Linked DNA regions of Caenorhabditis elegans. The protein of the gene in region 1 interacts with the protein of each later gene in a pairwise test. Each region holds a gene or a part of one and is shown on either strand. Other genes may lie near its edges.

Region 1 (3,755 bases):
AACATTTGTGTTCACCAGGTGTTGACGAATTCCCAGCTTATCGCCAATGAGAAGACGGACCTGGAAATTTTAGTTTTTTTTTGTAATTTTATTGAAAAATCAGGATTCTGAAATTGCTGCGTCCCACAGCGGAAACTACAGTAACCCGTAAAATTAGGTGGGGTGGAACTGTAGTTTTTGTGGTGGGACCCAGAAATTTTCAAGCTGAACAAATGCGTGGCACACATTATATTCGAATTGAACTTCTTAAATAAAATTGTTGAGTATGACTTACATATTTATTTGAATGACTTTTGAAACGGTAAAGTTTTAATTAAAATTTTTGAATTTTTTTTTATTGTTTCTTATAATTTGCTTGAATTCTAACTAAGTTGGGTCTCGTCACGACGGTGTGGTTTTCGCGGCGGGACCCACCAAAATTTGACATGTATAATTTCCATTAAAAAACAAACCTCAGTGACAAATTTATGTTGAGTCTTCAAAACAGGTTCCGGTTGAACGGAAACAATAAAACTCTGTGAAACCAGCATAAAAAGTAATTTGTTCAATTGTTCTGTAATTGCAGTCAACTTTCCAATTGTTGCCTGAGCGAGCCCATCATTTAACTGTGGAGCACGTCGGAGCAAGTCGAGCATCCAACACGAGAACATGTTAAGCTGCCAGTTTTGATCAGCGAGAAATTCGAATTCAATTTGAATTTCATCAAGCAGCTGTTCGCGATTATCGAAAGGCATTCCGATTTGGGCAAGTTTTTGGGCATTTTTCCAGGAGAACAGCTTTTCGCCAATTAGTTGGGTCTGGAAATGAAGATTGATTAAAATATTGCAACGCATAGAAAATTTGATTAAACTGTGAAACAGTATTTTTTTAAAAATATTTCTCTTTAAAAAAAATTGTCAAATTTTATGCAAAATCAATGTAAAAGGAAAAAAAAGATTAAATTTGATAAAAGTGTGAAACTGTAAATATTATAACTAACTTTTTTTCAGATAAGAGAGCTAGATTGCAGGCCAGTTTTAAAGTATGACATTTTCGCGCGTTCAATATATGAAATGCATGGGAAACATTAAATTTTTAATTAATTTTTGTATTTCAGTTCATTTTTGATGTAATTTCATATTAAAAGATTTCTTAATGCTTTTTTTAAACAAAACATTCACTTGAAACATTAAAAGAATAAAAATATTTTTAGCATGAATTTACTGAACATGCAAAATTCTTCAAAATTTGAAGGATTTTTCAAAAAAGTAAATCTTGTATTAGAGTTTTTTAATGGAAATGGTCTTCGACAGTCAAGTAAAGTAAAAAATTTTAATTCATATTTCACAAAACTTTGAAACAGTAAAATTTTTTTTATGTTTTTTTCATATTTTTTCACATTAGAAGAACCAACCTGTAGCATCGTCGCAAAATTGGTGCCATCATTAAGTTTAATGACAATATCATTTCTTTTCTGTGTCAAATGCTCATAAAGTGTGGCTGCTCTTTTCTGTAACTCTGTCATTTGCTGTTTCACAGTGAATACATTTTCTAGTCTCTGTTGCTGTTCCAGCTGTGCAATGACCATTTGCAGACGTTGAAGCTCGCCGAGTTCATTCACAAATCTGCCTTGGAGGTCCTTATTCTCTTCCCACAAGTGATGGCAGGTCTTTGAGACGTCGGTTAGAGCTGTTTGAAGCTCTTGCGACGATGAGCCCATCATGTCTGGAAATTTCAGATTTTTAATGAAGGGAATGGGAAGACAAGGAGGTAATAAAAAGGAAACGTTTTCAAAGAAAAATTTGTGAAAAAAAATTGGTTAAAAATTTTTTTACAGTTTCAAGAATTTTATTTCATTTTCAGTGTATTTTCAGAATCGACGTATACTTTAAAAAATTTTTTACTGTTTCAAATAAGTGATTAAATTTTGAAAGATTTTGTTAATTTCAATTTGATTTTTCACTGTTTCTGAAAACTTTCAATGTAGCATATTCGCTTGACAAAACATATTCATTTTCATCAATAATTATGAAAAAAAAAAAGAAAATATGTACGTGCAATGCAAGAAAAAATTGCGAAAACTTTCAATTTGTGCGAGTTGTTGAAAGAGCCGTGGCTCTGCACAAGAACTCGAAGGAAAAAACTAATGAGAAGTTGTTGGCTCAAAAAAGCGGAAAATGGGCAAGAGATGCAGAGAGCAGAAACACTTGGAAATGTATAAGAGCTCCAGGAGCACACACACACACGGGAGAGAGTATCAAAGAGAGCACAGAGACGCAGACAGTGTTACACACCGCTAGACGCAGAGACTTGTGTGTTTTCACACCACTTTTCCCCTGTCTCAGCTGATATCTGTGATGATTGGGGGGACGGAAAAAAATGGAGATATTATTGAGGGATTAGAGAAAAATATGTTTTTTTTTTCAAAAAAAAAATCGTTCAAATTAATTTTGAAACAGTAGTGGTTTTTTCAAGTTATTATAAAATGAGCTGAACATGAACATTTAAGGTTCTACTTGTATTACCCAACCGTGAAATTTTGCGCGAAAATTACTGTATCGGGTCTCGACGCGACAAATTACTGTTCAAATGTTCTAAAAATGTTCGAAAGTATGTATGTTTTTGTGGTTTTTATTCAAATATTTTTTATTGGAAAACAATTTGAAAAATCTGGAAAATTTTCAAATTTTGGGTGAACGACGATTTGACGGAAATTTTGGAAAATTTTAACATTTTTCCACTGTTTCAAGTTGTCTTTAAAAATACCAACATTTTATTTATACGTTGCTAGATTTATTCCAGTTTTTTATTCTGAGTGTATGAAGTTCTATTATTATTTCTCACTACTGTTCTAGCATTTTGAGGATTATAAAATGTGGTGTTGAAACCGAAAATTTAGTTTTTTTTAATTTTTTTTCGGCCAAGCTGAAATAATTTTGCGTGTTTTAAAATTGGCTTAGAGTCTGGAAATTTTATAACAATCTGACAAGTAATCTGAATATACCGGGAAAAAGAAATTGAAAAAAAAATTATACTGGGGCTATTTCTATATGGAACCTTAAAGATTTCAAACTTGAGAAGAAAACAATACTGTTTCAGATTACTGATATTGTCTGAATGTATAAAATGGGGTAATACAGTGTTGAAAATGAAGGTAGTATAATATTTTAGAAAACATATATATTGTTTCAGATTGCTTACATATGAATCGAATAATGTTTCTCAATATTTAAATTTTTTTCAAGTTTAATGCTGCTATTGTCGGAAAGCAAAAATTGTCAAACATTACTTCGAAGTTCGATTTCACTAGTTAGTGAGCTGAAGTTTCGTTTTTTGTTCAAACTAGGTAATTAATAGAGCTTATAAGACTTACAAGTTCAAATTTTTAGAAAAAATGTATCTTGTTTCAGATAAGTCAAGTATCAATGGCAATTTTTAATTGAAATAACACAAAAGGCACAGCAAAATTTACAGAAAGTTGGATGAAAAGTTTACTGTTTCAGGTTACTCATATTCAATATGGAAAATGAATTGTTATCGATTATCCTTCTGTATTACATCCTAATAAGGGTCATTTACAGTTAGATATAAATTGAAATTTTTCTATCAATTATTTCGTTTTACAGAGCATTCCAACTTGGAAAATGTGCTTATGTTTCATGGTCATGAGAAATAAAAAATTTACTGTTTCTAACTGGTTTTTAATATTTTCAAATTGTTTTTTTTTTTGCTTTAAATTAATACAGAATCTTTACTCGTTTTAAATTAGCGAAATT
Region 2 (3,755 bases), on another chromosome or scaffold:
AAAACCAAATATTTGATTGCAACCCAGGACGATGAATTAACTGAAAAGCTGAGAGCAATCGTTGGAACACCGATTATGTACATCAAATTTAAGACTGTGCTACTTGATAATGTGAGTTTTTAAAAACTGAGTGTACTGGAAAAAACATTTTACGTTTCAGATTTCTGAAGCTACAAAGGCTGGCTGTTCTAAAGAAGAATCCGAAATCAAGAAGCTAAAGGAGTTAAAAAATGCGCTGATCGGCCAACAAGAATTGAAGAAGAAGAAAAAGAAAAAAGGAGTCAATCCATTGTCGTGCAAGAAGAAAATTATGAAAGCGTCTGTGGATATCGTCAGAACTGGAGAGAGAACTGCTTCAGGAAAGAGGAAAAGGACAAAAAAGAAGGGATCCTCCATGGATGAAGAGTAAAACATAATGATCTCTTCCGTTTTTACTTGTTTTTGTTGATTTTTAATTTTTTTTCTGTTGAATGAAAATTCATTTTGTGAACGCAGATTTTTTTTTAAGATTTTTATTACAAAATGCGACATTTGAACATAAAAAATACAATCCAGTCTGGTACATATTAGGAGAGGAATGCAGGTAACATTTTAGGGGTTGAAAAGTGAATTTTAATACGAAATTAATGAAGTAAAGCTTGGGTTTGTCAATTTCAGCATCTAGTGGGCAGTAGCGTGGTTTCCATTGATGATGGAGAGCAGAGCGTCACGGTAGGCTCCAGAAGTGTCTCCCTTCACTGTGTCGGCCAAGCTCTTAGAGTAGAGCTCTTGGAATTCGGCCTTGATGAGCTCCAAGTCGACTTCGGAACGAGTGACGATGACACGGATCAAGTCGTTATCGCGAGTTCCGAGTCCTTTCATGGAAGCGTGGAGCTGCTGAGCGAAGAACTTCTGCTTGTCGGAAGCGGCACGGACAATGGTGAGGTAGGATTTCTGGAGATCTCCGGAAAACTCCTTCTCGATGCTTTTCTCGATAGAGCCACCAGCGAGTTCCTGGAAGTAGGCGAAGACCTTGCGGAGCTGGTATTGATTTTGAGTGGCGAGGATGTGAAGGAAGTGTGTTCCGTCCTTCTTGGCAAGCTTGGCTTTTCCGTCGGCGAACAGGCGAACAGCATCCTAAAATAAGAAAATGAATAATTGATCACAGTGAAAAAATAAAGAAAACTTACATCCTTGGCCTGAGCGTCGTTGGTATCATGAGATCCGTCTTTGGATCCAGTGACCAAGCTGACCAAAAGATCACGGAATTCTCCAGAAGTATCTCCAGCGATGTCAGCTTCCAAAGCCTTTCCATACTCCTTCTCGTAGGTCACACGAATGGCGCGGAGTTGATCAACAGTTCTGGAGCACAAAATCTCGATGAGCACAGCCTCGTCAGTTCCCAATCCCTTCATGGCAGCCTTAAGCTGCTTCACATCATAATCCAATGGAGTTTCCATGAGAGCGAAGATGGCCTTCTCGAGATCTCCAGAGAACTTCTTGTCAAGAGCCTGGATGATGTCCTTTCCGTACTTGAGCTTGTATGGCTCGCGGAGCTGCTGGCGCTGAGCGTTGGAGATCGAGGTGATGACGTTGACAACAGCGTCCTTCTCTCCGGCACGAAGAGCACGGTCGATCTTCTCAGCGAACATCGGAGCATTGAACTCTCTAGCGTCGACGATTGTAGCGTATGGGGAAGTCATTCTGGAAACAAACGTGTAATTATTAGGTTTTAAAAGTAAGAAAGAAGCAGAAAAATGGAAGAAAATGAATGGATAAATGAGATGGCGTCTAATATTTATATTTTTCAGTTTTTTGTTTTTAAAAAATTCGGCGAATACAAATTTGTTTACACAGTTTGTTTACTACTGTATACAGTTGGTACGCATTCTTGCGGTGTTTGCGGGTAGTGCATCACAAATTACGCCATGTTTTTCAAGAATGTTTTAAACAATTATATAATTAATTTTTGTTTATGGGTTAAGTGAAAATATCTACTTATATATAGGATGTTTGTAATCTTTTTTGAAATGGAAAAATCCAGGCACTTGTTCCAATCCTGGCCAGAGAGAAATAAATGAACATATTTCTGGACAAGAAAACCGTCAACTGATAAGCAAAATGAAATGACAACACTGAAACAAAAATGACTGTTCACTGAGTGGTAAAGAGGGGCATCTGGGGACGACTAAAAGGAAGAGCGCCGCTGGGGGAGAAAATGGGCGGAGCCAAGAGGGTGATTCATCGCAAACGATAGGAGAGATAGAGATTGAGAGAGAAAACAAAAACAACAGAAAACAGTGGAGAAGAAACATAGGCGGATGATGAAATACAGATAATATTGGATCTTCTTTGTCTTTTTTTTGAGGCAATTGAAAAAATTGAAATTAAACGAAAATTGCGAAAGTTATGACTCATTAGGTTATATAGGTTCTAAATTCTAAATTTAGAATTCATATAAATGATCTAATGTAACACCTCTTCAGGTCCATACCAAAAGTGTTTATGGGGGTGAATTTTAATTTAGAAGCGAAAAAACCAGCATCTTCTCTCGTTTCTCAAATTTCATGCTATCATTTCTTGTTTTTTAACTGGAGTCCCGAAATGAGGGATCGATTTCCTTGTTGTTTTCCCTCCAACAAACATTTTTCCTGCCGGTTCAGGGACACCAACAGGCACCGATCTTCTACCAATTTTTTGTGTCCGTTCGCACATTGAATGACCTGTACGATCGGTGTAGTGTTCTAGTTGATGTGTAACGGAGAGAGAGAGAGAGAGGATGATTCATGGTGTATGGGTAGAAACAAAAATTGTGAAAATTAGAAATTTTTGTGATGAAAAAAACAGAGTTTTTTTGGTAAGAAATGCAAAAACGAGGAGAGCATGACTAAGAAATTTTGTGTTATTAGAAAAATGAACAAATTAAAGTCAAGTTTTTGAGAGCTTGCCCTTCAATGTTGACTGAAATGAAATTTCGTGAACAATTTCGGGCAGTTCAACCTTTTTTGAAACTGGCCCAAAGTTTCTCGAAACGGATTTTCTACGATTTTTCAAAGATTTATTGGAAAAGTTCCTTTTATAAACTTGCGCCATACCTTGCCCAGACTTAGTTTAAGCCGGGCCAATCTTTGATACGAATTTGTTTTTGACTAGTGAGTTGGTTTGAACTTGGGTAAGGTTTTGGCAAGAATTGGATGAAATTTGAGATAAACTTTGGCACGGCCTAAAGTATTTTCCAAGTATTTTCGAAGTTTAGCCCTAGTTTTGTCAACTTCTAAACTGAGTTAATATTTTATGAGTCGCCAAATGCCGAGAAATTAGATGAAGCGTTTTAAATTTTTTGTTAAGCATTCCTACGAGTTGCTTAGATAACTCTATTCGCGGCGTTTCATTTTCTAGATAACTGAGAGTTTTATCAAAATATGTGGAATAGCCATATATTACTTCCGTGGCATATGCAAATGTTCTTGTTGATGTATACTATGTGGAATTTGAATGGTTCACAAGGCCATTGGTCAACGATCAAATTTGTCAACATAAATTGAAAAAGACCGCGTATATAACTGTGGCCAATCTTTTTTTTTGGTTGGTATTGAGGGAATAAAAGGATTTGGAGAGTATTTTCAAAAGTATAGGAAGTTAATAACTGTACATTAAATGGGATTTTATTAATGGAGAGGAGAATAAAAAAGTTCAAGAAACGGATTGGTCTTGATGTAGTAGCATGTTCAGATGAATTGACCTTTTTGGGGAACAATTGGAAAACAGAGAGAACG

What was found. Proteins that work in one complex are often made in the same cells at the same time.
Region 2: the proteins of sta-1 (region 1) and nex-1 interact in a two-hybrid assay, tested with the Caenorhabditis elegans proteins (one large-scale study listed by BioGRID).

What each region holds. Positions count from the first base shown.
Region 1 is NC_003282.8:16,662,269-16,666,023, reverse strand, and holds the start of sta-1 (Signal transducer and activator of transcription 1), read right to left. Parts: upstream 1,705-3,755; 5' UTR 1,703-1,704; coding exon 1,394-1,702; intron 1,298-1,393; exon of another isoform or gene 1,277-1,297; intron 1,022-1,276; exon of another isoform or gene 1,001-1,021; intron 918-1,000; exon of another isoform or gene 897-917; intron 815-896; exon of another isoform or gene 798-814; coding exon 453-797; intron 440-452; exon of another isoform or gene 419-439; intron 257-418; exon of another isoform or gene 236-256; intron 61-235; coding exon 1-60. UniProt on the Caenorhabditis elegans protein: Carries out a dual function: signal transduction and activation of transcription. Activated STAT proteins play a role in repression of dauer formation.
Region 2 is NC_003281.10:5,223,551-5,227,305, reverse strand, and holds nex-1 (Annexin), read right to left. Parts: upstream 1,686-3,755; 5' UTR 1,683-1,685; coding exon 1,170-1,682; intron 1,117-1,169; coding exon 661-1,116; 3' UTR 502-660; downstream 1-501. Other genes in the region: C34E10.10 (rRNA-processing protein UTP23 homolog), read left to right, coding at 1-111, 161-409.